Linked DNA regions of Callithrix jacchus. The protein of the gene in region 4 purifies or fractionates together with the protein of the main gene of each other region. This does not show direct contact. Links are inferred from orthologs where the notes say so. Each region holds a gene or a part of one and is shown on either strand. Other genes may lie near its edges. The genes, in order: RARA, SQSTM1, NDUFS1, PML, RELA and ZMYM2.

The links.
Region 1: the proteins of PML (region 4) and RARA purify together in Homo sapiens (affinity purification with western blotting; 6 studies listed by BioGRID, with this or other methods). This does not show direct contact. The link is inferred for Callithrix jacchus from reciprocal best matches to the Homo sapiens genes PML and RARA.
Region 2: the proteins of PML (region 4) and SQSTM1 purify together in Homo sapiens (affinity purification with western blotting; 3 studies listed by BioGRID and IntAct, with this or other methods). This does not show direct contact. The link is inferred for Callithrix jacchus from reciprocal best matches to the Homo sapiens genes PML and SQSTM1.
Region 3: the proteins of PML (region 4) and NDUFS1 purify together in Homo sapiens (affinity purification with mass spectrometry; 3 studies listed by BioGRID and IntAct, counting the BioPlex papers as one, with this or other methods). This does not show direct contact. The link is inferred for Callithrix jacchus from reciprocal best matches to the Homo sapiens genes PML and NDUFS1.
Region 5: the proteins of PML (region 4) and RELA purify together in Homo sapiens (affinity purification with western blotting; 3 studies listed by BioGRID, with this or other methods). This does not show direct contact. The link is inferred for Callithrix jacchus from reciprocal best matches to the Homo sapiens genes PML and RELA.
Region 6: the proteins of PML (region 4) and ZMYM2 purify together in Homo sapiens (affinity purification with western blotting; 3 studies listed by BioGRID, with this or other methods). This does not show direct contact. The link is inferred for Callithrix jacchus from reciprocal best matches to the Homo sapiens genes PML and ZMYM2.

Annotation. Positions count from the first base shown.
Region 1 is NC_133506.1:92,950,632-92,955,854, forward strand, and holds the start of RARA (retinoic acid receptor alpha), read right to left. Parts: upstream 3,213-5,223; 5' UTR 3,106-3,212; intron 1-3,105. UniProt on the Homo sapiens protein: Receptor for retinoic acid. Retinoic acid receptors bind as heterodimers to their target response elements in response to their ligands, all-trans or 9-cis retinoic acid, and regulate gene expression in various biological processes.
Region 2 is NC_133503.1:71,816,313-71,820,888, reverse strand, and holds part of SQSTM1 (sequestosome-1), read left to right. Parts: intron 1-507; coding exon 508-737; intron 738-831; coding exon 832-973; intron 974-1,789; coding exon 1,790-1,870; intron 1,871-4,576. UniProt on the Homo sapiens protein: Molecular adapter required for selective macroautophagy (aggrephagy) by acting as a bridge between polyubiquitinated proteins and autophagosomes.
Region 3 is NC_133507.1:127,555,461-127,560,502, reverse strand, and holds the start of NDUFS1 (NADH-ubiquinone oxidoreductase 75 kDa subunit, mitochondrial), read left to right. Parts: upstream 1-1,696; 5' UTR 1,697-1,801; intron 1,802-5,042. Other genes in the region: EEF1B2 (elongation factor 1-beta), read right to left, coding at 465-587, 1,084-1,163.
Region 4 is NC_133509.1:20,936,066-20,940,641, reverse strand, and holds part of PML (protein PML), read right to left. Parts: intron 3,187-4,576; coding exon 3,043-3,186; intron 2,604-3,042; coding exon 2,345-2,603; coding exon of another isoform or gene 2,337-2,344; intron 1,256-2,336; coding exon 1,203-1,255; intron 584-1,202; coding exon of another isoform or gene 1-583.
Region 5 is NC_133511.1:122,751,343-122,756,402, forward strand, and holds the start of RELA (transcription factor p65), read right to left. Parts: upstream 3,599-5,060; 5' UTR 3,513-3,598; coding exon of another isoform or gene 3,506-3,512; 5' UTR 3,411-3,505; coding exon 3,374-3,410; intron 2,898-3,373; coding exon 2,871-2,897; intron 2,781-2,870; coding exon 2,629-2,780; intron 2,529-2,628; coding exon 2,380-2,528; intron 849-2,379; coding exon 757-848; intron 433-756; coding exon 301-432; intron 1-300. UniProt on the Homo sapiens protein: NF-kappa-B is a pleiotropic transcription factor present in almost all cell types and is the endpoint of a series of signal transduction events that are initiated by a vast array of stimuli related to many biological processes such as inflammation, immunity, differentiation, cell growth, tumorigenesis and apoptosis.
Region 6 is NC_133506.1:139,639,072-139,644,158, reverse strand, and holds the start of ZMYM2 (zinc finger MYM-type protein 2), read right to left. Parts: upstream 3,418-5,087; 5' UTR 2,813-3,417; coding exon 2,772-2,812; intron 2,171-2,771; exon of another isoform or gene 1,719-2,170; intron 895-1,718; coding exon 826-894; intron 1-825. UniProt on the Homo sapiens protein: Involved in the negative regulation of transcription.

The DNA.
Region 1 (5,223 bases), on a different chromosome or scaffold from region 4:
GTACTCCAGCCTGGGACTAGTGCCAACTTGGCCATCCTGGGGGCATCCCACACCCCTTCCCTAGGGGGGAGGCCTGCTCATAAGTGCCTGCAATCACAGAGCTGCCCCTACCCTATGGGAGGAGGAGATAGGAGGCAAGTGGTCTAGAGGGAAACCTTCCCAATTTCTGACAAATCAGTGCCAACCACATTGTGGGCACCCAGAGGGCAGGGCCTGGCTCCACTGACTGGTCTTTTGAGGGCAGAAGGAATTGGCATGGGGAAGTTGTGACAGTTTCCTTCATCCTGGCCCAGCTGGAGGGAAGACAAAATAGTGCCCCAGCCTCAATTATGTTAGTCCCTTGCTCCCCAAAACACAGGGATTTCAATAGCCACCCCCAGATACCATGGGGGAAAAAACGCTTAAAAATGGGAGAAGATCTAGGCTTCTATAAAGACAGAAGCCTGGAGGCAAGAATAGGCCATGCCTGCTAGGCTGGGCATGTGCTGCCCCCAAGCTGAGTCAGAGGCTAGGAGGAAGAAGCTGAGGTGCTACAGTGCCAGAGGCTACTGTGCCCCCACACCATCCCACCTGGGATTCCTGACACCTCCCAACCCTAGGGGAAGGCCCTCCCCACACAGGAGGAAGGAAACCAGCTAAGCGACTCTCTGGAGCCCTGCAGGGGAGCCCTGCACCACAGGCAGGCGGGAAACCCAGGAGTCCTGGCACCCAGCCCAGAGAGAGTGAAATACCTTGAAGGGGAGGAAACAGCCCAGATTGAGGCAGACATGTGGCACCCCCAGAAGCTCCCAGATGTGATCCATAAGGAAGTACTGACCAAAGGGGCTAGATGAGGCAAAATGAACACATTTCTGAACAAGAAGAGAAAAGAAAGTGGGGCTATAGGAATGAGGTGGCGAGGGTGAGGGCCGCCTGGCTCATCGCTGTCCTTTCCTCCTTATCAGAGTCAGAGATACTGACATTAAGGCCATCAAATATCAACGAGGTCCTCAAGACCTTGGTGTGTTTCCTCCTCCCCTAGTCTCCAGACCCCAGCCTGTTCATTCCTGAGCTTCCTCTGGCACCCCTTCCTTGGGGCAAAGCCAAGTAAGAAATCAGCAGGCCCAAGGTGGTGCTTGGGAGGCCGGGGCAGTGCCAGGGGCAGTCCTCATACCATCCTCCCACTGGCTTCCCTCCCGCCTGCTCTTAGCCGCCACACATATCTCAGCTGTCGAATCCGATTAGGGCTCCTGCCCAGTGAGCCGGACAAGGAGGCCACTGGGCAGGGGAGAGAGAGACAAGGACGCCAAGCAGGGATGGCAGAAGGAAGGTGGAGACATGGCTCAGGGGAGAAAGTATGGGGCCCCAGAGGAAGAAATGCCTGGTGGAGAGATCTGTACTCTCTGACCACAGGTGCTCTGGCAACAGCTACAACCTGCAGGGGAATTCTGCAGTACCCGGGGCAATAGCCCTGCCTGGTTCCTCCATCTCCCAGATGGGTAAAGGATGAGGGAAGAAAACTGAAGGCAGAGAGATTGACCTAGATTTAGGAAGAGGATTCCATCCTAGATCCCCCCAGCCATTACTACCATTTGGACTGAGCTTTACAATACATTATCTGTGGGGTCTTGGTGGCAGACCTGCTTGCTGATAGCCATTTTTACAAATGAAGAAACTGAGACTTAGCACAGGGGAAGACCTACATAAACACACATAGTTAAATAACCAGGCTAAGTCTCCATTCAGGCCTCTGATTCCCAGTCCACTGCTCACACTCAGAATCTCTACTTTCCTTCTTGGATCAAGACCAGAACAAAGTGTGAAGCCACTCCATTATCTACCCTGTCCTCCAAAACCAACCCTTAGGGGACCCGGGGAGCCATGGAAGAATGCAGAGTACACCCCACACCTAGACACAGCTACCAGACAGGGACATGCAACCCACCCCTACCACACACTGAGAACTAGAGGAGTTCTCTCAGTGTGACCAGTCTGTTCTATCACCCCCTCCCCAGTCTACTACCCCCAGAAGCAAGATATACACTCACACACGGTAACTCAGACAGTGTACACCCTTCCTATAAACCCACCAAACCAGAATGGCATGCCCTAGATCATCATCAGAGAGCAGGGCCTGTCTGCCCACCACAGGAGAAAATACGCCACTGTAAACAGTAGGTGCCATCTAGCCCTCTCTGAGAGCATGTGGGGGCAGGGGGCAAAAGCTCGGGGACCTTATAGCTCTAGAGAAACACCAGGAGCCTGAGACTGAAAGCAAAGGAGCTCAGGGAGCTGGCAAGGCTGGGTGACCTCCTCAATCTGGTCCACACCCCCTTCCCTAGCCATCTGGACTGAGCCTGTTCTAGCCTGGCCACACTCTGGTATCCCTCCCTTTCAATGCCTGCAGCCACCTCTATCCAAAGCTTCTAGATCTTACAACCACATTGTCAACACACGCACACAGGGGTCGGGGGTGGGGGGGAGGGGGGAGCGCTTCTGCAGAAGGTGTTGAGATGTTGACAGGGATGGGGGCTCTAAGCTGAAAGAAGTTTCCCAGAGGAAAAGGTCACCAAAATGCTCACAACCTCCACTAGCTTCCTGCAAAGCCCTTGGCCACCCAGGTGTGCAATGAACCTGGAAAGGGACATTAGTTCCCCTACAAGGTGAGTAGGGATTGGGGACAACGTCCTGAGCTCTTTGGGCTAGGAAGCAAGAAAGAAATCCCTCAGGAAAGCTCAGGTCCCTCTCTGGCTCTGTCCTCTCTGTTACCCCAGCACTTGCCAATTCTCCAGTCTAGGTGAGGTGGGGGAAGGGGTTTTAGGCAATACTGCAAAGGAGGGTGCAAGGGCGTGGGCCTGGGCAGACCTTCCCCCTACTCCCCACTCTTAGCTAGGAAACGAGGACTGCCTCAGGAGAAATGCGGGAAAGGAGCTGGAGGGTGCAGTGGGCTCTGAGCTTTCAGACACCCTACTGTTCCGAGACTCCCACCTCGCAGGACTACAGTGAGTGACAGGAGAGGAGGGATGGGGAAAGCCAGAACTGACGAGAGGGAAACGGCTAGATCGGAAGCAGAGGCCAGTCAAAGGCGGCCAAGGAAGAATTGGGAAGGGGTGTGCATGGTCCTACCTGGTCAGGTGTGTGCTGGCAGGGGGGCGATGGGGTTCCCAGGAGAACCGGGAAAGCCCTCTCAGCTCGATTCAGGATTCCCCCCTGCTTCTGGGTTAGGCTGCTGCAAGAGGCACGGGTTCCCGTTGGGTCCTAAAGCCCACTCGCCAAACAGAAGACTCTCCCCGCCCAATTACACCAGCCCTGACTGGGTCAGCCGGTGCAGAGTGGAGGACTGATGGGGGAGAAATAACGCACTGGAACAAAGATGGGGGTCTGATCACCGGCTGGGGACGGGAACAGTTCCCAGTATCAAATACACAGCATATGGATAACGAGGATAGGATGACATAAAACAGGAGAAAATAGACATTTCTTCCTGGCTGCCCTGAGCAGATGGACTTAGGTTTTGGTGCTAGAGGTGGGGTTAAGAACTCTTTTCCTGCCACTCCCGCTGAGGCATTTAGCTAGAAATTTGGAGAAGGGAGCATTCCTTTTAGTTGGATGCTCACTTCTGTCCTCTTCCTTGTGGACTGCAGGAGTCTCTTCATCCCTCCCAATTATTCTCAAGTGCCTAGGAGGCAGGCCATCCAGGGGGAAAAAAAACAGATTTTCAGCCTGTAAAAAGTGCAGGCTAACTTAGATGGCAGCTGGAAACAGGTAGGACCAATTTGTGTGTATCTGGGTGTGTGGGGTCTGCAAATATACTTATATAGGCAAAAGTAAAAGCAGGTGCGGTTAGAGAAGAAGAAAAAACAAAAAAGGACCTTGGGCTACATCTATTACTGGAGATGATAATTGTCAGTGGAAGAACAGGATGCAGAACCTAGAGGTCAACTAGGGCCCCTACCCAGCCCTCAATAAGGTCCGAATCTTTATGACCAAAATAAACAAGTTAAAGAGAGAATATTTTCCTATGTACCATTCTGGATAAATATAGGGGCACAGGGACCTCAAAACAATAGATCAACTTCAAGGTCACTGTTTCAGTTTAGTATAGCCAATCTTCTCAATAGCTCAAAGGGAGAATTCAGGTTTGGCGGGCTAGATGAGCAAGAGAAAGGTGGATAAGAATTCTGAAGTTGTGGATTGGGAACATTTTGCAAGGAGAGTTGCACATATCTCTAGCAGCAGATCAGGGAGAATGTCATAAGGGCCAGAGGAAGTCAGGGACAGACTTGAAAGAAGAGGGCATGGCCTCTCCCTAGAAGAGAGGACACCAGCAATGCCTCCACACCTCTTTTTGTCTTCCAGAAAGAACTCAGAAAAGGAGCTGGGAAGTTAGGATGGAAGGCCCCAGGGTGGAGTCCATGGGGTGAGTTTAGGTCAAGCCTTTCACCCTAATGTGCCTCAGTTCTCTCCCAGCTGTTAAACAGGGCTCTTCGTTCTTCCCAGGCAGTTAATGAGTGTTTACAAAAGGGTTTGGAGATCCTCAGATCTCAGCTGGGCCACCACTAGTTATAAAGTTCAGTAAGAGCTGAGTGTTATTTGGGGAGAGGAGTAGGGGAGAAGGAAATAGACTACTCTCTTACAAACTAAGGATAAAACTAAACTCAGAGAAGCACAAGCCTCGCTGCTGCCACAGGATATCCTTGTGCCCATGGATGGAGGTCACCCCACCCCCATCAACCACCACCAAAGGCTGGCCTCCAGCTAGCTGTAGGCAGAACCTAGACTAGCAGCTGGTCTTCATTAACTCCAGCTTTTTCACCCCCCACTGTGAACCCACAGCTTCTACAGGCCTAGGCTAGAGGGGGCTGCCCTAGCTCGACCTTGCAGCTGACACTGGGGTGGGGGGCACCGCACTAAAGGCCAAGTTACCAGCTGAAAAGAAAGCCGAAGCAAGAGTCCTTTTTCCCATTGGGAGCAAGAAGAAAGCAGTGTGGGGTTGAGAGGGTGGAGGTGGGGGAATTTAGGGCAAACAGCAGGCAGTGAAGTCAGCTGGATTGAGGCCCAGAAACCCCCACACCCTGGGGCCAAGTCTTATTCTAGCTTTGCTTTCAGCTTAAGTCTTGGCGAGGCCCCAAACTAGGGAAGGCCCTGGTTGCCCCTTTCTGCCTCCCTACCCCCACCCTTATTAAATACACATTTTATCTCTCAGCATCTTCATTATCTTAACTGAAGGAGACAAGCAGTGGA
Region 2 (4,576 bases), on a different chromosome or scaffold from region 4:
TTAGCTGGGCATGGTGGTGCACACCTGTAATCCCAGCTACTCAGGATACAGAGACAAGAGAATCACTTAAACCTTGGGGGCAGAGGTTGCAGCGAGCCAAGATCGCACCATTGCACTCCAGCTTGGGTGACAAAGTGAGACTCTGTGTCAAAAAAAAGAGAGACATAATAAATGTTGTGTCTGACCTGAGAAAGAGGAGTCCAAAGAGGAGTCCCCCTAGGGATGGGGTCTGGTGCTATGGTGCGTGGGTGAAGAGCAAGGCCAAAGGTGTGCAGACAGGGTCCCTTGCTGCTGCTCTGCTGCCTGGGCCACATTGCCCAGGTAACAGACACAGGGACTGGGAACCTCCTAGCAGGTTCTTGGTTGCTCTGCTGTCCTCACCTAAGGAGCTGAATTTTGTGTGGACTCCATGCTGGAATGCAGGGCCAGGGGCCTTGCTGGTGGTGAGGATGGATGGGAAGACTTTAGGGGGCCCCACTCCAGTGGCTCTTTCTACCCTCCATGTAGAGAAAAAAGAGTGCCGGCGGGACCACCGCCCACCATGTGCTCAGGAGGCGCCCCGCAACATGGTGCACCCCAATGTCATCTGTGATGGCTGCAATGGTCCCGTGGTAGGAACCCGCTACAAGTGCAGCGTCTGCCCAGACTACGACTTGTGTAGCGTCTGCGAGGGAAAGGGCTTGCACCGAGGGCACTCCAAGCTCGTGTTCCCTAGCCCCTTCGGACACCTGTCTGAGGTGAGCAGGTCCTCCGTGTGGGCCTGGGGTGGGTGCAGGATGGCAGGAACCCTGACCTGCTCACTGCCTGCCCCTCTGCTAATTCTTCCCTCAGGGCTTCTCGCATAGCCGCTGGCTCAGGAAGCTGAAACACGGGCACTTCGGTTGGCCAGGCTGGGAGATGGGCCCACCAGGAAACTGGAGCCCACGTCCTCCTCGTGCAGGGGATGCCCGCCCTGGTCCCACAGCAGAATCAGGTGGGGCTTGTTTTGGAACTGGCTTCTGAACGATGACTGTAGTCAGTCAGGCAGCCTGTGTGCAATTCAGGGCACCTCCCCGCCTTCCTTCCCCTGAATTCCTCTGTGCATCTGTGTCCTACAATCACACAAGAACCCTGCAAAGTGGGGAGTATTCTCTGTGTTGCCCAAATGGGGAAACTGAAGTGCCCAAGTGCCTGAGGCCACAAATTCACCTGCAGAGCCCTTCCCATCTCGGGAGGCTGCCCTCTTGAGGTGCCCGAGGTATAGGCAGGGAGGCCTTTCCTGCGCCGGGGTCTCTGCTGTACTTTGTTCTCTTTTGTGGTAGTTGTCAGGAAGATCAGAGCCAAAGTTGCTAAAGTCCTTTTAAACATAGTTGTAAGTTAAGACTTACCCTTAGCTTTGCAGTATAGATTTTTGGATTCTGATTTTATTAATCTTACTGTGTCCTGTGAATCACCTCACCCTTTGGGACAAAGATAAGGATGTTTGCTTGACTTTGAGTAAATAACACATTTACTCAAGGAGGTGGTCAATATTTATCCACAGTGTTCTGAGCGTAAGTCTCTGTGGGGTTACTGAGCATCAGGGTCACAGAGGAGGGGGAGCAGCACAGGAGGGTGGAGAGGATCATGGTGCAGGGGCAGGGGCCAAAGAGTGGGAAGGAGGAGAGAGGGTGCTGAATGGACTGCTGGACAAGATGTCTGGGATGAAAGTTACCTGGGAACACAGGAACCTTGGCAAGAAGGTGACAAGACTGTAACAAGTATCCAAGGCAGTAAAGATGTCTTTATTTTATCTTTGTGAAAATCAAAGCTTCTGGTCCATCGGAGGATCCCAGTGTGAATTTCCTGAAGAACGTAGGGGAGAGCGTGGCAGCTGCCCTCAGCCCTCTGGGTGAGTATACCTTCTTGCCCAGTGCTTTCCTAACTCAGCCTGCACTTTATGTAAGGTTCACCCGGAATGCTGCAGAGGAATGGGTAATTGACATATCCTTGACACTGGTGAGGCCTCATGTTAACACAGGTGCTCAAGGTTGAATTCCCTGACAGAATTCTCAAGCTTTCTACACGGAGTGAAGTAGAATCAGCCGGCATTTGGTTGGGAAAATCCCAGTAAGGGAGGGTGACCAGGCTCTGGTTGCAGGGTCTGCCTGTCACCTCTGACTGCTCTCCTTTGGGTGAAAAACAGTCTGCATTTTCCCCTAAGCTGGACCTTGGGATTTGGACTTTTGAGGATTTGGGTAATAGTTAGCTAAGATGCTATTTATCCTTTCCTTCTTTTAGTTTGCAACCCCCAAACTTTCCTGGGTGCTTTTGAATGCTGGGCCTGCATCAGAGGCGGGAGAAGGTGGAGGCAGGTGCTCTGGGTGACACCCAATTCCGGTGCCTCAGGTTGCACAGTGGGTCTGCTGGTGTGGGTGAACCCCAACGTGTACCTCCAGAGTGGTGCCATCTGACCCCAGGCATGAACCTAAGGTTCTGAGAACCCTCCCTGGTGGGCTTTAGAAAGTACCTGTTGTGTCTAAGGGTCTGGGGCAGAGCATGCAGCAGTAAGAAGTAAGAATCAGCAAATGAAGCCAACTTTTAGTTCAAGATGATGGTGGATCTGTGATGGCAGATGGATTGCTGGGACACCTGCATCTCTCTCTAGAAAAGCGAGCTTATCTTTGCAACTGTAGTGGCCGTCTCTGTCCATCTAGCCTGTCCAAAGGTGTTCAGTGTCTGAAAGAATGCTGCTAGGAGGGGTGTCTGAATCCTGTCTGCCACCTCCTGTGGCTACAGGGCATGACTGCCATTTCCAACTCTGCTCATTCTGATTTTTTCTTTTTTGAGACAAAGTCTCTGTCACCCAGGCTGGAGTGCAGTGGTGCAATCTCTGCTCACTGCAACATCTACCTCCTGGGTTCAAGCAATTCTCCTGCCTCAGCCTCCTGGGTAACTGGCATTATAGGTGCCAGCCACCACACCCAGCTAATTTTTGTATTTTTTTTAGTAGAGATGGGGTTTCACCACGTTGGCTAGGCTGGTCTCAAACTCCTGACCTCAGGCAGTCTGCTTGCCTTGGCCTCTCAAAGTGCATGAGCCCCCGTGCCTGGCCTTACGTATTCTGCTTTGAAGCAGCAGTGACATATTGGCATTGTTGCTGAACTAAACAGCCCAAATACATGGGGCTTCTTTACTGGAGTCTAGAGGCGAAGTCAGAGAATAGGAAAGAAAAATTGCTACTTTTTTTTTTTTTTGCGATTGAGTTTCACTTTGGTTGCCCAGGCTGGAGAGTGCAATAGTGAAGTCATGGCTGGGTTCAAGCGATTCTCCTGCCTGAGCCTCCTGAGTAGAGAGATTACAGGTGCCTGCCACCATGCCCAGCTAATTTTTGTATTTTTAGTAGAGATGGGGGTTTCACTACATGTTGGCCAGGCTGGTCTCAAACTCCTGACCTCAGGTGATCACCCGCCTCAGCCTCCCAAAATGCTTGGATTACAGGTGTGAGCCATCGTGTCCTGCCAAGAATCGCTATTAATGCTTTCCAGGGAGGGGAAAACAGTGGAGCACTGAGATTATGATTGAGATATACTATGCCTAAACCCTGCTGCTTACTCTGGACATAGTAAAGTTCTGACAGACTGCAGTGAATTTGGAGGTATGAACAAGAGTCTTTCAAAGAACAAAGGAGATATCCTTTGTTCACAAAACCAAGTCTAGGTTCAGGTAGAGACTTTAAGACAGTGCAGATCCCCAGGCCTTAACCTTTTTTGATCCTGGTAAATGGGTGTTGGTGGGGCCTGGGGATCTTTCTGGGAGGCTGCCTAGGTGCTTGGGGTCACACTGTCCCAAGATCCACCTGTGCTGGTGCAGCATCTCAGAACTGAACTGGATGCCCCATTTGGCACAGACAGGAATAATTTTGCAAGTGCTCAGAGGTCTTTGAGCACTAAAGGCTAAAGGTTTAAAGTGGATAGAATTGCTTTTTCCTAACTGAGGAGAAGCCTGGAGCTCTACAAACAAGGAACATTTTAGTAAAATAGACTGAGTGGTTTCAGCTGAGGAGAGCCAGTCAAGGAGTGGCTTACTCTGTTGTGGAAGTTAGGGCTATTTTCTTTCCTTTCTTTATGAGGAAGTATAAGCAGGATGACTCACAGGTTAACTGCCTAGAAGGAACTGTTTCCAGAGCAGGGCCCAAAGGGGAGTGAGTCAACAGCAGCCTCCCGGTAGCAGTGTGTGTGGGGTGGGCGGCGGCTTTCATGTGAAGAGCCAAGGCCTTTCAGAGCCACCACTGAGACCCAGGCTCCTCCTGGCTGGTAGGTTGCAGGCCCCGACATCCAGGACATGAAGCCACAGAGTCCATCCTGGACATGATATCTTTGATAAACACACACCCACATGCAGAGGCTTTGTGGGGCAGCAGGGCACGGAGCATCGTCCAGTTTTGCTTTTTTTTTTTTAAGTGAAAAGCAAGTTTCTTAAGAAAGTAAAGTAATATAAAAATGGCTACTCCATAGGCAGAGCAGCCTGTCCAGTCCTGTTACAAGCCCTGACATCTCAGGCTTTCATCAGCAGGTTCGAGAAATCCTAATTCTGTAATTTCTCTGATCTGTTTACA
Region 3 (5,042 bases), on a different chromosome or scaffold from region 4:
ACAAACATTAGTCCCATGTGAGACAGGATTTTCAATACTCACTACGATTTACTCTTTCAGTATACACATTTCTGTTTGAAATTTCATTAAGTATGCTCAGTTCCATTCTTAGTGAAATGCAGTCCACTTCCCCAAACTTCCACCCTTGTTGGCAGTTTCAGAAGAATGGCCAAGGACTGAATGAATGAGCCACCCTCTCACCCCAGAGGTGGGCCCCCCAGGTCAGGGTCGAGGCACATTGGCAGGGCAGTGTGGGGAAAAGCTGAATTGCTGTTGTCCATGTTCTACCTGTTCTGTGAAAAAATGGAGGACTTCAGTCTCTTGGCCTTCTAAGGTTACTGAAAAATTTAGCTCATAATATCCCAACAAAGCTAAAGTAGCCTGGGTCCAGTTTTGTCATGTGAACATCCTGATTAACTTCGAGAGCAGCCTTATTGCTCAGCTAGACACAAAGATGATTTTACCTGGCCTTTTCCTTTTCATAGGACTTGATGTGATTATACCAACGTAGGGCATGACACAAGTCGGCAGGCGGTGGGCCGGACACTGCTTCAAATACTGCCACATCTGCTTGTGATGGCACATACCTGCCAATGACACAGAAACGTTCATACACACCTTTGAAAGACAAACGCCAGCGAAAATAATGCTGTATGCATCACATTAATTAGTGGGCACTAGCCCCGGCAGGGGTGCTTTAATGATTTTTTTTTTTCTTATCAGCTCCTTAAAATCAAACCATCCTTGGGTCGCCACGTTATCCTGAGAAATGTCTTCCCACTTAGTAGACCTCAACGATTGCAATCTCTAGCATTGCTCTATCTACAGTCCAATATTTTACTAACTGGGCAGCGACACGGCGACACCTGGCTGAATTAAGTGTAAATAAAGTACATTTCAACCTTTTACTGCTAGTGAACCGCTCCCCGGAGCCCGGGCTCGCACCACACGCGGGCCTTGGGAGATGGCAAGGAGAGGCGCTAACCCTTCATCCTCCCTCCCTCCCGGGGCAACCGACGCTGCCCCACGTGGCCCCGGGTCCGACCAGCCTCCTCACCATCCCGTCTCGGCCCGTCCGCTCACCCCTCGATGTAGCTCTTGTCCGCCAGGTAGTCGTTGAGCACCTGGAGGCCGGCGGGGCTTTTCAGGTCTCCGAAACCCATGACGTCTGCTGTATCAAGAGAGCTGGGGAGCAGCAGAGAGACAGAGCATACGCTTACAGCACCCCGCGCTCAAAGAGAAAAAAGGGCCTAGAGAGGCCGGAAAATTCCTTATATAGAGACGGAGGCGTTTCCCTCCACCGATCCCGACCAAAGGTTAAAGGTCAAAGTACGTTGGCATTCTCACTTCTCCACGTACGAATTGGGGGCCCTAAATTAAGTGGCCCACAAATTGTCCCTGGACCCTTCGTTGCGTTTGGAAATAAATTAATAAAATTGGCATGTTTTAAATTCGAACCTCCACAGCTCCGGAAGATAACGAGAACCACCCCTTGAAACGCCGGAGATGACCAAAGACGCTCGGCCACGGGGCTACAGGCCACTTCCGGCGGAACTGCGGGTCCAAGTTGTCCTTCCCGCCTCCCTGCTGGGCCGACCTCCGCTCCGCCCTCGGGTCGGCTGACGGAAATTGCCGACAGACTTGTCGAATGCGAGGATTCTAGTCCCTCCGGGCTTTCCGTTCTCCAGGCCCGGGTGACAGAGTTAGCTGAGGCCGCCATATTAAGTGAGCGACCCGGTCTCCGAAGGGTCGTTGTGGTCCGGACAGTTTAGCAAACAGCCTTCGCGGCTCCGGGGAGAAGGTGAGGTCTTGTATGGATGGGAAGGGTGAGGTGCGTCTCGGCCAGGGGTTTATTTCTTGACGGGACTGTTTCCTTTGGCCCACGCGACTTATTCTTCTCTTGTCCTTGACTGGGGCGCCGCCTCCCGCTCCGCAGCCTCAGAAGCCCCTGAGAACCGGCATGTGGGGGCTTTTAGCCACGGAGTCTGGTCTGATGAAGCAGAAAGGAAGAGGAGGATCAGGGGACACTTGGGAACGCTGGCCCGAATGCACGCTTGCAGGCGACCTTTCCTCTGCAGTGAAAATTCAGGACATTGCCCTCTCAGAGGAGGAGGACGTTTTGTTCCCCAGGAGAGAACTAGTGTCCGATGACTTAGGCGTTAAGACCGAGCCTGTCCCCCCAGATTTCCACACAGCTGGTACAGTGCCTGATTGTTTAGTCGCTGTTGCGTTTTCGTTCACGCCTCTGTTTGTTGATTTTGTTTTGTCCATTGACCACGTTGGACAGCATTTTATTCCTTTCACTGGCGGGGAAATTGAGAAAAAGGACTTTTGAAAAGTTAGCCCAGGATTGCATTGCGAATAACAAAACGTTGTTTACACGTTCTTGGGATCTAATGCTTATACTGTAAGATCTTGAATCAGGCACAACGCTTCACACACGAATTGACAGTATAGAAGTGTAACGGTAACTTTTGATAAGTAAACAGTTATTTTTGTTTTGCGGAATACTCTTGTTTTCACCGAGTTAAGGCTGCCAGAGCACCTGCACTTTTTAAATCCGGGGAAGTGCTCTGTGCAAGTTACGGCCAGAAATTAGAGATTCAGTTCACTTAACAGTTATTGAACATTTACGAGCCAAGAATACGTTCGTAAAGAAGAATAAAATAGGTGATATGACTGGGGAATCGTCAGGAAGTGTTAGATAGGCTGGACAGTGAAAATCTCCTTGAGAGAAAGTTTTTAAGCCAAGATGTGAAGGATGAGGAGTGGCCCGAAAGATGAGAGGGAAAAGCATTTCAGTCTGAGGTTACAGCGGTGGCAAGAGGGGAGGGGCTGTGTGGGAACAGTGTGGAAGTTTGGTGACCTGTTAAGAAGCTATTGAAATACTCCAGGCAAGGAATGATGGTGGATTGGGATAGGGTATACCTTGGATGGATGCAGGATCCATGTTGGAGAACGTGGAATAGTATGGCCCCTATACGGAAAGTTATCCAGTCCAGTATTAGAAATGATTGGTCATTAGCATTTTTCCATCTACAGAGACAAATATTTCTGTTACTACTTGGTATGTTGGTGTTCAATGCACATATGGAAGTGTTGCAAATCTGTGTTTCTTACGTTGGTCTATGCTTTGATGTTAGTGTCAACAGCCTAGTTCTAGTTGATGTCCTATCTAAAGTGAGTACTATTGTTATATCGTATTTTAAATAGTATTAAAGTTTTAAAATTGAATGAAATACTCATTGTTGATTTCAAATCTGTCAATGCTCTAATGCAGCAAGTTTTGGTTTACAATATACATATGCCATCAGTTTTTAATAGGACAGATGCTACTCATTTCTAGAACTTGGTGATACCGTGTTAGGTCTTCAGGAAGGGAAATATGCAAACTCTGTCCTCAAGGAGCTTACAGTCTGATAGGTACTAAAATTGATTACTAACCTACAGTTTAGTAAGTGGAATGATAAAAATAAATATGCAGTGTGTACTGGTACTAAAGAAAAGGCACAAAGAGCCCTTTAAAACTGATTGTCGGTGGGCTGTGGTGGTTCACACCTGTAATCCCAGCACTTTGGGAGGCCAAGGTGGGTGGATCGCCTGAGGTCAAAAGTTCAAGACCAGCCTGGCCGACTTGGCCAACCTTGTCTCAACTAAAAATACAAAAATTAGCCAGGCATGGTGGCAGGTGCCTGTAATCCCAGCTGCTTGGAAGGCACAGGTTGCAGTGAGCTGATATCATGCCATTGCACTCCAATCTGGGTGACAGAGCGAGACTCTTGTCTCAAAGAAAAAAAAAAGCCACACAGAAACTTATTGTCAGTGGCCACCAGTACTGCCTAAGTTGAATTCAGCTTTAACTGGCATTTATTGAGCTCCTACTAATAGCTCATAGTCTAGGAAGTACTGTTTTCCTCCTGCCTTGTAAGTAAAGAACCAGTAACTGATTTACCAAAAATTACTCGCTAGCAGGAAACAGAGTTGATGTTTGCAAATTCAGTATCACATATTCTTAATTAACGAAATGTTGAATTAATGACATTTCCTGTTGTACATCATCTGTGATAAGTGTGCAGAATTTTGTGCTTAAAACCAATGTATATGCACTGTTATCCAATAATACTGTTGCAAGTATTGAAACTTTACTGTCGAAATTTTTTTTTAATACATTCTAATCATATAATTTGCTGCTTCCTTTTTTGCTTGTTTGTTTTTTGTTGTTTGAGACAGGATCTTATTCTGTCTCCCAGGCTGGAATGCAGTGGCATGATTAAAGCTCATTGTAACCTTGAACACCTGGGCTCAAGCCATCCTCCCAGGTCAGCCTCCTGAGGAGCTGGGACTAAAGGTTCATGCCACCACACCCATCTCTTTTTTTTGCAGAGATGGAATCCTGCTGTGTTGCCCAGGCTGATCTCAAACTCCTCGAGGTGGCATCCCAAAGTGTTGAGACTACAGGCATGATGCCACCTCATCTGGCCAATTTGCATTTTTAATACCTTTAGAAGTTCCAAGTGATTTTGCTTAACCTATATGATCAAGCAAACAGGCAAAAAGGTCAGTGCTTACCCTATGTGATCAAGTAAAAAAAAAAAAAAACCAACAAGTTTAGAAGTTTTGGTAACTTGGATGGGCATGGTGGCTCATGCCTGTAATTCTAGCACTTTGGGAGGCTGAGGCGGGTGGGTCACATGAGGTCCGGAGTTTGAGACCAGCCTGGCCACCATGGTGAAACCCCATCTCTACTAAAAATACAAAAATGTTCTGGGCAAAGTGAATCACACCTGTAATCCCAGCACTTTGGGAGGCTGAGGCAGGCTGATCACCTGAGGTCAGGAGTCCAAGACCAGCCTGGCCAACGTGGAGAAACCCCGTCCTACTAAAAATACAAAAATTTGCCGGGGTGGTGGTAGGAGCCTGTAAATCCCAGCTACTTGGGAGGCTGAGACAGGAGAATCACTTGAACCTGGAAGGCAGAGGTTGCAGTGAGTTGAGATCACACCACTGCACTCCTGGGTGACAGCGAGACTCCCTCTCAAAAA
Region 4 (4,576 bases):
CACCATGGAAGAAGTGTCAAGCTGGGGAGCCATGGAGAAGGGGAGGGCAAAGAAGTGGTTGAGCCACTGGGATAAATGAGAGGAGCCCCGGAGGAAGCGGCTGCGGGATCTCACGGCCCCTCGTATCCGGCGGGGTGGGCTGATGGCCCTTTGCAGCTGGGCAGGATGCTCCTGGGCACTGGCAGGATGGTTGAGGGGCCCTGTGGTGGCAGGAGTGTTGGCCTGGACCACGTGGTGAGACCAAGTCCGAAGGGGGACCCGATGCAATCGAGGGTTCAAGTGGAGGGCATGGCGAAGGCGGATGGCTCTCTGTGCTCTGCACAACAGGTGACGGATCCCACGGTGGATGGCAGGGCGCTCCTGGTGATTGGCAGGCTGGCTCTGAGGTTCAGCGTCAGGAACCACAGCCTGCTCAGTGGGCTGGTGGGGAGGCGAAGCCGGGGGATGGCATGTACCACGCGGCAGGATGGAGGCTTCTTGTGTTCTCAGCAGGTACTGGGCTGGTGAGGACTGTGGCTCAGCGGTCTCCGTGGGCTCCATGCACTTTCCAATACAGAACCTCAGACTGAGGGCTGGAAGAGACCTCAGGGGCCACCCAGTCCATCCTTTCACTCTATTCAGATCCCCTTTTCCCCTGGACGGGTGATAGCCCAGCTCCTAGTAATAATCCTCCAGGGACAGAAGGGTCACTACCCACGAGGCCACTTGTTTCAGTGTGGAATGGATTTACAGTTCTTTCTTACATGGATAGAGTCAAACCTCATTTTCTTGGCCTCTATACAGCTCCCCCGTGGCCTCACACCCCTTCACTGGCCCCCACTGGCTGCAATTAACTAGGAAATGCATTCTTGTCCAGCCCTCCTCACTGAGGACTCAGAGGACAGAAAATGCATAAGGGAGCTCCAGAAAAAGGCCCTGGACATTCCGGAAAAGAGACGGGGTTCTGGATGCACACTATCAGCGTTTCAGAGGAGTACATATGGCTACTGAAGGCCCCTGCCCCGGTGTGGTGGGAGGGCTGGGGTGGTCCAGGCATGCGGCTGGCATTTGGAGACTGTTATCAGCACAGCTTGGGACTCACTGCCTCACTGGAAAATTGCCCAGGCGTAGGCAGATCTGAGAGTCACCTGCTGTGGCTATGCCCCTTGGGACCTGAAATGGGGGTAGGCAGGAGTCCTGGGCTGAACTTCTGGGCCACTCACCGAGTTTTCGGCATCTGAGTCTTCCGAGCTGCTGATCACCACAATGCGCTCCTCTGAAATGGGGAAGGGGAGCTGAATTACTTACTGCCTAGGACGCATAATGGGAGGGGTGTGGGTATGCACCTATGGGAATCCTTGCAGGCCAGTGCACTGAGGGCAACGGATACCCTGCAGGGCGACGGGAACACCCACTGTGTGTGCCAGTCTGAATCTGCTTTGCATTTGGATGTAATTCACAAATGGGTTTCCATCATTTCTTGCTGTACCTTATCTATGAATATTCAATTAAGTTATTTGCCCAGCAATCAGAATTTGCTCCCAGCACAGGAGGCCTGCACCACCTGGTTTGGAACCTTCTGCAATCCTAAAGCAGCACAGCGGTTTGGCCCAATTCTCAGCTCCATCAGCTGGGATGTCTAGAGTTAAAAGATGCCTCATTTAGTTAATCAAAACCCATTGATGACCAATAGCATTGGTGGGTAAGGAATATCAGTCAATGCTCAGTGTGTGACCAGGGCTGGGGCTGAGTCTGGGACCTAGAATGAAGAACAAAGCTGTAGTCTGGGTGAAGAGATCCAGGAAGAACTCTTGCTCCAGATTTCTCTGAGTTGGACCTCAACTCCTGTCCAGCTGACTCCCTGCCTGGCGGTGTCCACAGAGGATAACTCAGACAAATGAGACACTTGGTAGGTGGCCTTTGCAGCAACACCTGGGGAAATGATGGGTGTGGACTGGGAGGGCACAGTTAAGGTCACGGGGAGTCCAGTTTCCTGTGATGGTGTGCCCAAGCCCTCTGGGAGCGCACGAGGCATCTGCCAGCAAACATTTCTTGTGGAGACCTGTCCTGTGCAGAGGCATGGTGCTGGGCACTGTAAGATTAGTGTTTTGGGGAAAGGACTCACAGAACTGTGCATTTTAGCCTGACAGGCTCCCCACACCTTAATCACAGCAAAGCACGTGGTAACCTGTATCCACCCTCACCCCCATGCACACTGTGAACTTTCCCTGCCTTATTCAGTGGGAATAAGGGACTCCTGTTGGCTTTGGGCTTTCTGGATGGGGCCAAAATACAGAAGAGGGGGCCCACCCAGACCCTGGCAGACAGCACACAGGTCAGGTCACTCCCCTACCCACCTCCCTACCTGCCTCCCCGGCGCCACTGGCCACATGGTTGCTGTTGGGCAGGATGACCTCACTTCCTATGTCGGGGCTCTCGGCGCTGGGCAGCCCATCCAGGTGGGGTGGTGAGACTGCCTTAGAGGTGCTAGGCCTAGGCTGCTCGGGGGAGCTCCGAGCCAACCTCGCCTCCTTCCCCTCCTCAGATTCCATCTTGATGACCTTCCTGGGGCACTGGGTCTGAATGCTCTTCCTCTTCTGGCCTGTGGTTGTATTGGAGACCTCCTGCACAGAGGGAGTCACAAAGCCAGGTCAGCTGCCTCAAGGGGTGAGTGGGCACAGCCTGCCCTGGGTGCCAGGGCCTTGTGGCTACCCTTTTGCTCCTGTTGTCCCCTCTCCTCTGCTCTCAGCCATGCAGATGTCTCTCTTCAGACAGGAAGCCTTCCCAAGCTGGCACCATCTGCTGTCTACCAGTCTCTGCTGGCCTTTGACAGCCCTGAGTGTCTCAGCACCCCTGCTGTGCTGGGAGTGGTTCATGCTTATGGGGAGCTCCCAGATCAGGCAGCCGAGAACAGGGGACAGCATAGAGAAGGCGCTGAGCAAACACTTCCCCACAAACAGCTGATCTGATGAAGGCCTGGCTTCCCGCCCCTCGGCACCACTTCACTTTCCTGGTGGAATCCAGGCCTTCAGGAGGGGAGGCCAGGGCTGGGGAGAACCTTACCTCTCTGTAGGAAGGGCCTTTGATGGAGAAGGCGTACACTGGCACGGGGTGTGCCCCGGGGACTGACTGTACCACAGCCACAGGCTGGGCTTCAGCCAGCCCCAGGGCCTGGGCCTGGGCCTTCACTCTCTCTGCCTCCTCGGGCTGCAAAGTTGGGAAAATTGGGTCAGAAATGACTAGGCAGCAGCCCCAAGGCCAGGTACCCCAGACCTGTGGTTGGCCCAATACCTGTGGCTTACCCACTCACAGGTTCAGGCTCCCTGACTCAAAGCTCCGAGCTCACTGGGGACAAGAAGTCCTCCAAACTCTCTATCACATCACCTCCTTCTTTAAAGAGAAAAAAACTGTAGAGACAGGGTCTCACTATGTTGCACAGGCTGGTCTTGCACTCCTGAGCTTGAGCAATTCTCCAGTCTCGGCCTCCCAAAGTGCTGGGATTACCCGCATGAGCCACCACACCTGGCATCACCTCCTTCCAACTCTGAGTTACTGGCGCCCAGGGACTGCTTTGGTTCTTGAGTGTTGTAACAGGGCTTGAAGGTACCCCAGGAATCGCACTGCCCAACGCAGGACATGCTCAGTAACTAGCCCAGCTTACACACACACCTCCAGGGACACACCTCACTACTGGTGAAAGCAGCTCCTGTAACAGTGAGAAAATCCTCCCGCTGAGCTGAAACTGGCCTCCCTCGGACCTTACCTCTGCCTCTCAGCCTTAACTCTACCTGGGTCAGCTACTACACAAGTTGGATGAATTGCTTAAAACTTTTTGGGCCTCTGTCCTGCTCTGTAAAATGGGAATAATAACATCTATCTCATATGGTAATGTGGATGAAATGTGTTAATACAAGTAAAATATGAAATACCTGGCACTTCGAAATGCCATTGATAATGATACATTGATAATGCCAGGCACGTGCTGAGTGCTTTGTGTACCTATCTCCAAATGAAATAGAGGCAGTTCCTTAAAAAATTAAATGTAGAATTATCATATGACCCAGCAATTCTACCCCAGGTATGTACCCAAAAGCAGGGAAAACAGATGTTTAAACAAAAGCTCGCAGGTGAATGTTCAGAGGAGCACTATTCACAATAGCCAAAAAAAGGTAAAACAATCTAAATATCCATCAACTGATGAGTAAATAAACAAAATGTGGTATAGCCATGTGATGGAATATTCTTCCGACATAGAAACATGGATGAGCCTTGAACGTATTACGTCAAATGAAAAGAAGCCAGCTGGGCATGGTGGCTCACACCTGTAATCTCAGCACTTTGGGAGGCTGAGGTGGTGGATCATTTGAGTCCGGGGGTTCCCGACCAGCCTGGCCAACATGGCGAACACCCATCTCTACTCAAAACACAAAAATCAGCTGGGCGTGGTGGTGCACACCTGCAGTCCCAGCTAGCTGGGAGGCTGAGGCGTGAGAACTGCTGAACCCAGGAGGTGGACATTCCAGTGAGCTGAGATTGTGCTACTGCACTCCAACCTGAGGGACAGAGTGAGACTCTGTCTCAAACAATAATAAAATAA
Region 5 (5,060 bases), on a different chromosome or scaffold from region 4:
AGTTCATTTCCTAGAATCTTTATCGCAGTTGTGGGCACACCACCTTCTCATCACATGATACTGAAAATATCCATTTCCCATCAGACTCACTCCAGGCTGGAGCTATACCTGAAGGACAGCTCTGGGTCTTCTTTGCCCTCTCTCCCCAGCCAACAAAGAGCTGGGCACAGAAAAGAAGACGGATATGCAAGATGATTGAATGAAGCAAGAGCACCTCTTGCAGGTCACACTCAACCCAACCCCATTCCTCCTTATCCAGGCCCACCCCTCTCCCCTTCCTGTGGCTCCCTGGCCACTCACGGTTGTCAAAGATGGGATGAGAGAGGACAGGCAGCAGGCGGAGGGGCCTGCCTGATGGATCCCGCACTGTCACCTGGAAGCAGAGCCGCACAGCGTTCAGGTCATAGTCCCCACGCTGCTCTTCTATGGGAACTGCCAGGAAAACAGGTGATCAGGAGAGCAAGAGAAGGGGGGTTATAGGTGCTATCAGTGGGGACAGGGAGCTGTGCGCTGGGAGGGCTGTTGGTGCATGTGTGAAACACAAGTCCTAGAGACGGCAGAACCCAGCACTGCCTCCACTGTGACCCTGAATGTCCTCTCCTGGGCCTCAGTTTCCCAATGGTAAAGTGGGAGAGTACTGAAAGGGCAGCAAGATTCCATCTTTATTGTGTCTTGGCCAATGAGGGAGAGATGCAGGAAAGGCGGGCTGGGAACGGTGACAGAGGGTATGGGTGCGGCAGGCAGGTTCACCCTTACCTTGGAAGGGGTTGTTGTTGGTCTGGATGCGCTGATTGATAGCCTGCTCCAGATCTCGCTTCTTCACACACTGGATTCCCAGGTTCTGGAAACTGAACACCCCCACTCACCTGTCTCTTGCAGAGCTGGGACCTTCCTGCCTTGCCCAGCCTGCTCCTTCCTCCCCTGCCCACCCGCAGATCATCGCTCCATACCTAACCCCCTCCAGTGGCTTCCCACTATGCTGCAACGAACCCTGTCCCTCCCCTCCGCTGACAAGCACCTCTGCGCCCCCGCCCCTGCCAGCCTCCCTTTGGGCCATCTGCTTACCACCATAGGGGCTTCCTTTCCCTTCTCTAACACAAGACACTCATTCCCACTTCAAGGTCTTAGCACTTGTTTGGTCTGCTTGGAATGTTCTTTTTCCTACTTTTCTCCTCCTCCTCACCATTCAAGCAGTAGCAGAGGGAGGCCTTCCCTGACCTCCCAATCTAGTCATTACACTAGCTCCCCTCACTCCCCGACCCCAGGTTATCCTTTCATCCTATGACCTTGTTTTATTTTCAGCACTGAAAGTATTACTCTGACAGTACCTTGTTTACTTATCTGTGTATTTATTCATATTTTATTTGTTTATGTATTTTTAGACAGAGTCTCACTCTGTTGCCCAGGCTGGAGTGCAATGGCTCAATCTTGGCTCACTGCAACCTCCGCCTCCCAGGTTCAAGCCAATCTCCTGCCTCAGTTTCCCAAGTAGCTGGGATTACAGGTGTGCACCACCACACCCGGCTAAGTTTTTGTATTTAGTAGAGCCAGGGTTTCACCATGTTGGTCAGGCTGGTCTCGAACTCCTGATCTCAGATGATCCGCCAACCTCAACCTCGCAAAGTGCTGGGATTACAGGCATGAGCCACTGTGCCAGGCTATTTACTTGGGTGTCACTCTGTCACTCAGACTTCAATGCTGTGACATGATCACAGCTTGCTGCAGCAAGGACCTCCTTGGCTCAGGTGGTCCTCCCACCTCAGCCTCCCACCTCAGGTAGTCCTCCCACCTCAGCCGGTCCTCCCACCTCAGCCTCCCACCTCAGGTGGTCCTCCCACCTCAGCCTCCCAAGTAGCTGGGACTATAGGAACATGACACTATACCTGGCTAATTTATTTTTTTGTAGAGATAAGGTCTCATTATGTTGCCTTAGCTAGTCTTGAACTCCTACGCTCAAGAGATCTTCCTGCCTTCATCTCCCAAAGTGCTAGGATTATAGGCATGAGCCACTACGCCTGGCCTGTATATTTTTTTTATAGTCTGTCTCTGTCAACTGTAATGTCAACTCCGGGGAGAGTACTGGTTCAATGGTTTTCTTTCTCAAACAAGAGACATGACTCTGACGGACTACCCCTTCCAGCTACAGGGTCAGGGATTCAGAAGTGATTAGGGACCCATCCCTATCCCCTAGAGCTCCTATCTGCTAGAGTAGAGGTATAAATGATAATTTTAAAACAAAGGGAGTTTACTTGCAGAACTATGTCAGAGCAAGGAGTGAGAAATTGTCCTGTGTCCAGAAAGGAGTAACACTGTAGCGTCTACCTCACAGCCCGCATCCTGTCCCCTCAGGCTGGGCCTCCTAGACTGCAGGGAGCTCACCTGTGGATGCAGCGGTCCGGGCAGAGCTCAGCCTCGTAGAAGCCATCCCGGCAGTCTTTTCCTACAAGCTCATGGGGGTGAGGCCGGTGAGGAGGGTCCTTGGTGACCAGGGAGATGCGTACTGTCCCTGGCCCTGTGTAGCCATTGATCTGTCCAAAGTACAGAGAAGCCCAGACATCCAAACCTGACTCCCAAACAGAGGGCTGGGGCTCGCAGTCCCTACCCCGCACTCCCCGGCTCAATGCTGACCTTGATGGTGGGGTGCGTCTTGGTGGTATCTGTGCTCCTCTCGCCAGGGATGCTGCCCGCGGAGCGTCCCTCGCACTTGTAGCGGAAGCGCATGCCCCGCTGCTTGGGCTGCTCAATGATCTCCACATAGGGGCCAGAGGCCTGGGCTGGCTCTGCCAGGGGACACCGCAGACCCATTAGGTGGCTGCCCCCGCTGCCCTACCCCAGGGAGCACCTCCCCGACCACCGCGGGGGCCACTTACCTGCCGGGAAGATGAGGGGGAACAACTCTGAAAGGGGAGAGAGATCAGGGTCAGCACACACCCACTGCCCATCCTCACCGGGGGAATCTGCTCCCCACGAAGAGAAGCCAGGCTCCCTCCCAGGGGAACGGAGTCAGGACCCGTTCCCTAGAACAGGCGGTGAAACTAAAGGGTGGGGAGAAGGAGCCAGAAACACCTGCTTCTTGAGAGAAAACGGGGTAAGGAATCCTTCCTCTCCCGAGGGCAACTGAATTAGTTTTCCTTTCATAAGGAAAACTGGGGGAGGGCACGCCCCACCTCCGTCCAGAGAGGAAACTGAATCAGATGCGTTCTTCCCTAACAAGGAAACGAAGCCAGAGCTGCCCCCATAGACAGTGGGGGGGAAACTGAGTCAAGGCTCCCTCCGCTGTCCCACCCAGGGAGGATACTGAGTTAAGGCCCTCCCCTCCACCCAGAGGGGAAACTGAGTCAGATCCCTCCCCGCTTGCCCCGCCCCGCGCCACCATCCAGCAGGCAGGCCGCTCCCTGCGCAGCGCCCATCAGCGCAAGAAGGGGCGGAAAGCGGCGCGGGGGCTCCCGCCACAGCCCCGGCGGCCCCGGCGCGGCCACCCCGCGGGGTCAGAGGGCGACCTCACCGTCCATGGCCGGGGTCCCGGGGGCGGGGCCGGGGTCGCAGCTGGGCCCGCGGCGGGCGCTACAGCCTAGCCATTCGCCAGAAGCGGAAATGCGCCGCGCGCGCCCGCCGTCGCGTCACTGCCAGGAATCCGGCCGCGCCTGCGTGCTGCACCGCGGCGGCCCGGCGCAGGGGCCGAGAGCAAGTGCGCGCCGCGCGGAGGACGAAGAGGCCGCGCGCACAGCCGCCGCAGGGGGCCGGGGCCAAGTGCGCGCCTCGCGGGGGACGAAGAGGCTGGCGCGGCAGGCTGCTGGGCTAGTTTCCGAGTCCCGGCCCCACCTGGAGGGCGTGTCCGTCGATTACTCACTTTATTTTTAGGGGATTTCGGGGCCCCTTCCCGCGATCGGTGGAGTTGGTGATGTCACTCTGGGCCGGGTCTAGAGCTAAGCCAGGGCTGCTGGGCTGCGGCCACCCGTCCCGCGCAGGGAAAGGCCAAGCCTGGCCTTCTGCGCCCGCAAAGGCCAGGTGGTTGAAGTCTACGCGGGTTTCCTGATCGCTAAAGGCGCCTTTCGGTGGTGACTGTCTCAGAAGCACGTTAAAATGTCCTAGCCACCCCAATCTAGATGCGGCTCTGGGGAAGGGGAGCGGCCGGGCCTCCTCGCCTGACAGTATAGACTAGCTCTGCAGAGCCTGCAGCCCGGATGGGACGACCGAGGCCCTCCCGCCGGCGAGCTGGCCGAGGGCTCGCCCCTCTCACGCTAAAGAGCCAGCTTAAGATGCAGCCGAACTGCATTTTAGACCCTGAGCGACCGTGGGAGCAGGAGGAGCCCGGGGGTAAACCCCGGAGCCTTGTCTCCGCAGCCTGGCGCTTGTCTCAGAAGGTCCGGGACCCCCAGGGGACACTTGAATCAGCAGAGTCACGACGCCCCCGCCCACCCCTGCGTTTGCCCTGGACCTCTAGCTAGGGCTGACCACTAATTCTGTCATGTGACCCCCACAGTGCCGGTATCGCCCCCAAGACCAAACCGCGTACGTGTCGGGGCTGGGGCTGGCGCACCCCCACCCCACACCTCCTCCCCGAAAGAGGATGCTCCACTGCAGGGGGCGGAGTCTTCTCCAGATGGAGAAAGACTTTATTTTTTCTCTGAATTCGTCTTAAATTAGGAAATCATGTGGGAATTGGAAAAGATTGGAAATTCTGACTTGTTTCCCAGGCTCTGAAGAAACAGGAAGAGAAAAGTGAAAATAGAGTTAGCACCCCGCCCACTCATTTCAGTTTCTCCAGTGGCTGGCCCTGATTAGAAAAGTGTTTACTTTTGTTAGGGGGCGGGGGAGGCAGACTTCAGGTGGCAGAATGGATTAATCAAAATCTTTGGTTAATGACATAAAATTATCATTGAATCTTGCATGGATCCTCTTCTTAAAATTCATGTATGTTTATAACTTTTAAATTAATGCTATAAACACCCGTGTACCCACTGCAAAACTCAAGGGGCCACCACCATCCAGAATTCTGTATTTTCTTTTCTTTTTTTTTTTTTTGAGACAGGGTCTAGCTCTGTCACCCAGGCTGGAGT
Region 6 (5,087 bases), on a different chromosome or scaffold from region 4:
TGACTCTGACAAGTTACAATATCAATTGTCAATGGACTTCACTGATATTTTATGATTAGTTTCAACTGCCTGAAGGAAAATATGATTGGCTATCTTCATCTTCCCCTCTAGCACATAACGTGGTTGCCTTAAAACCAACAAATTAAATGATAATTCTCACCTAACACATTCAAAAATGATCGCTAAGTGAAAGATGGTCAACATGGAAGACGGAGAACCAAGAAAGTTACTAGATCAGCACACTGGTCTGATCAGCATACTACTTGGAGAACAAGACAGTATAAGAGGAGTGGACTCCATCCCTTTCCTAAGCAAAGACAAGAAAAAGATCTAGCAACTTATGAGCCTTGGGTCAAAATTTGTGTTTCCAACAGACATAAACAAAAATATAATGGTTATTTCTATGTTTCCAATCCATTTAATCAATTAGCCATTGTTTAAGGAAGAAAAAATGTTAAGGTTGCATGCATAGCATTCAACAAGAAATAACTTTAATTCCCATTTTGGAACTCTAGAGGGCACTAGAAATATGCCCTCCTTCGCACCACCCCTCCTCCCCGGTAACGTGAGCAGCTGCAGAAGCCCGTCGTCTGGTTGCTGAGGTTGGTATTGCAGCAGCAGGAGCGATGTCTGCAGCGGTGGAAACAGCAGCGCCCACTCCCAGCTGCCTCACCAGCCATTACCCAGGCTTCGCCTTGGGGGCAGCTGCCACCCAAGGGAAAGCTCCTCCCCCTCAAAACAACGGGGAGGGCCAGGTCCCATGGCTGAACCCCTACAAACTGACAATGTCCTCTACTAGCAACAAACTGGGGGCAAAAGACTCACAATGGGGGTGTTTTCCTCCTCACTTTCTGCCAAGGATGCACCAGACAAGGTTGAAGGCGATTCTTGGTCCTGGGATAGGAGAAAAAATGAAAAACGTATCAAGAACATAGAACCTGATGGGAGAACCCAACCCTTTCTGCCAGAAGGAGGCAGAGGAGGGAATAAGAGGTCAAGGAGGTTCGGTCCTTCTATTATTACCCCCACCATGCGCACAACAGCCCCCTCCTGCGTAAGTGGGGCAAAACAGCGCAAAATATATATCTGGGGCCAAAACCCTTGTGAAAAGCAAAATCTGGAAGGGAGGGGGGCCTGAGGACACCGAGCCTGCTCCTGGAAGGGAGGGGGGAAGGGAAAACGTTGCCTCGACGCCAGTAAGGGATTTGTATTCCCTCCTAAATTTGCCCACCCAGCTTCATCCCCGTCACTCCAAGTACCAATTCAGAGGTAAGAGGCGGCTCACGTCACCGCTGGGCCGATATCGCCCACATTTGCCCCAAGCAGTTGCCCTGGGCCCGAGGTTTGCCCCCCCCTGCAGTCGGCGACCGGCAGCGCTGCCTCCCCGTCCGCCATTAGAGACCCAGCCAAACAATACGTGCGGAGCAAGAGCCGCGCAGCGCAGCGCGGAGGGAAAGAAGAGCGAAGGAGGGGACCCGGCGGGGCAGAGGCGGCTGCTCTCGCCCCGAAAAACTTGGGGACCTCAGCTCTGGCGGACCGGGTGGCAGCACGGCCCCGAGAGCGGAGAACCGGCCGGGGCGCCCCTCCCCCGCCCCCCGCAGGAGAGAAAGGAAAATGCCCCGCGACCTCCCCGGGCGGCCCGCACCCCCGCCCCGCCGGCCCCGCCGGCCCCGCCGCCCCGCCGGCCCCGCGACCCCCGCCGCTGGCGGCCGCCTCACCCAGCCCTCCCGGCCTCGCCCGCACTCTCCTAGCCCCTCGGGCCGCACGCAAAGGCGCCTGTGACATGAGAGCAGCCCCGAGCTGCCCCCGAGGCCCCGACGCGGCAGCGGCGACGGCGGCCGCGCCGCGGGGTATTAATCCTGGGTCGGTGGGAGGCTCTGGAGGCTGCCCTCACCCATCTCCGCCTCCCCAGTCGCCTCCGCCTCCGCCTCCTCCTCCGGAGGCTGCGCTGCTCCCAGCCACCCCCACTCTCGGCGGCCCTGGACTGGAAAGACAGCGGGGATAAGCCTCACCCGGTTCTGGCTGTGGCTCCGCGGAACGAACCTCCCCTCCCCCGGCCCACCCCCCTTCGGCGACACGCACAACTCCGCTCGGTCCAGTCCCGGCTTTAGCGCTGGTGAGGAGGAGGAGGCGGAGGAGGTGGCGGCGCGGCCGAGCCCGGGGAGGCCCCGCCCTCCGCGCGCTCGTTGGCTGGTGGAGGAGGCGGCCCGGGGCACCTCTGGCACGCCCATTGGCTATGACGGCCGTCCTTCAGGACCCCCCCTCGGTGGGGTGGTCCGAAGGGCTGTCCGTCAGGCGCACGCCACACCCCCGGCCCTGCCGTTCCACTCCCGCCTCCGCCGGCCCTCGACTCCCGGCCGCGTCCCCTCCCCGCCGGTCCCCCGCCCCCACCCATAGGGTCCGCCAGGGTCAGAAGCCGGAGATTCACTGCCCGCCGCACCAGCTTCGCTTCGGACCCTAGGGGCCCGTGGCTCTCCGGTACCTAGACAGCCCTGGAAACTCCGGCGGGGCCGCCTGCCCTCGCCCGAGCCCGGGTGCCCAGGCCGCGGAGCGGCTCTCAACGCCTCTGCCCGAGGAGAGCCGCGGCCTCGATGCCCCAACGCCCTCTCTGTCCAGTTCCTTGAAGGCCCCCACGAGGGGCGAGGCCGAGGAGGCGCTGGAGTGGGGCCGAGTGGGCTTTCGGGGCCGCTGGTGAAGTGGAACCCTGAGCGCGCTGGGGGCAGTGGAGGCCCTTCCACCCTCTCCGCGCCCCGTGGGGAATAGTCCCCCACCTCCCGCCATGGCTGCAGCAGGAGGAGACGACGTCCTCCATTTTGTCGGAACGGCTGTAGGAACTTAGGACCCCTTCAACACCAAACCCCGTGGGGCCGGGAAACTTGTCCCCGGGAAGCCCCGACTGGGCTCTGCCATTCGGCCAAGGGAACAGCCCCGGCTGCCGGCGTCTGCGTCCGCGGGGCCGTAGGGGACGGGCGCGACGGTGGAGAGACCCAGACAACGCTCCCCGCCTCCATCAACCAAGATGGAGGGAGCTGCGGGCTCCCCTGGAGCTGGGCTCCCGCCGGTTGGAGGGGCCGGAGCCCGCCCTGGGTCGTCCCTGGGCGCCGCCGTCCTCTGCTCCGCAGCTCGGGGCGCTGGCCCTGCCCAGGCCTCTCCACCGCCTGTCACCGTCTCCTGGTCCTCAACGGTTGATGGAGACTCCATGGAGGCTCCCTCCACACACAGCCCGTTCCATCGCGGGGCGCACCCGCTGCGGCCCCCGGGGGGGGGAGCGGAGTCAGGGACAGACGGCGCCCGGGGAGGGCAGGTCCCACAGGCCACCTCCACGAGGGGTCTTCTCTTTTGTTCCTCGTCTACACCTACGTCTTCGGCGGACGTCATGGTGCTGAACCATTTCCAAGACCACGTAAAGATGGAAGCAATGCCGCTTTCGTCTCGCCCTGGCGGTTCTTAGTGGGATTACAACTGATGTTGGTTATTTTCCCACCCAAATGGATGGGCAACTTCTCAACTTCACTTATCTGACACCATTGACTATTAATAAACAGATATAAAACAGCTTCAAGTTCAACACGCTGTTGATGAACGTGAAGTTTTTAGTGAAGTTAATCATCCATGAAAGCCTGATGTGTAAACTAATAGACATAACTTACAGAGGATGATCTAGTAGAAGTTGAAATTCATCAGTTAAAACTAAGTAGGTAGGGGGTCCAAAGTGGCTCCCGCCGGAGGTCATGGCGCTCACGAAGGCGAGGTCATCAGTTCAAGGCTAACCTGAGCAACCTCATAAGCTCAAACTGATTGGCAAAAAAAAAAAACACTTAAGTAGGCTTTCTACCTTGGACTTAATACTTTGAATATCCGGTTCTTTTTTATTGGAAAATATTCACAAAATGTACATGAACCAGCTTTTCAAAAAGTATCACTGATTTTTAGGAAACTTTCGTGACTAAAATTGTTGAGTGTTGAATACACTAAAATGTAAGATTTTATATTACACAGTACTGTTTTAGATTGAAAAACTATCATCACAACATAAACATCAACAAAAACAGTCACTATCATCAAAACAGAAACATTCTCTACTACCAAATTGTAACAATTCGGTGAAAACTTACACCATACCTTTTCTGCTGCCAGATCCTATTGCAGTCGCTTCAGCTCATTGAGTTTATATTTAGAAGAGTAAAGTAGACTTACTTCCAAATAAGCTCTGTGATAAACGATAGATTGCGTTGCTACGCAGTGTTCAATTGGAGCGCTATGCTGCTACTAATTCCCTAGCATTATTGCTGTTTTATATAACTAATGAGCAACAGTGCTAAATATAGTATTTATTATTCACTTTTAAAAAAAATTCATTCAGGTACATTTGTCCGTGAAACTGTTCACTGCTTTGCTGGTCTGATATCAGGGAGGATTTTAGTTGAGAATTTCGAACTAGGGAAAAAAGTCTTTCTCATAATATTAAAAGCAGACTTAACTTTATATAAAAGTAATTTTAAAGATCAATGTTTGAATGTTCGAAACAGCATTATTCATAGTTTCCAACATCCCAAAAATATCCATCAACTGATCAATGGATAAACAAAATGTGGTACATCCATACAATGGGATATTATTTAGAAATAAAGAGGAATGAAGTTCTGATATATGCTACAACATGGACATACCTTAAAGACGTTATAAGTGAATAAAGAAGACACAAAATACCACAAAATATTTCATTTACAGGAAATGTCTAGAATAGGGAAATCTGTAGAGACAGAAAGTAGATTAGTGGTTACCCAGAACTGGAGGGGTGGGAAGTAGGAAATGTTAGCTAAAAGTTATGAGGCTGTTTAATAGAGTGACTAAAGTGTTCTACAATTTAATGAAATGATTGCGCAACTCCTAATATACTAAAAACCTCTGAACATACCTTAAATGAGTGACTTGCGTGATATGTGAATTATATCTCAATAAATCCACAACTAAATCTGCGTGTACGGCCTGGCACGGTGGCGCATGACTGTAATCTCAGCACTTTGGGAGGCCCAGGCAGGTGGATCACAAGGTCAGGAAATCAAGACCATCCTGGCCAACACGGT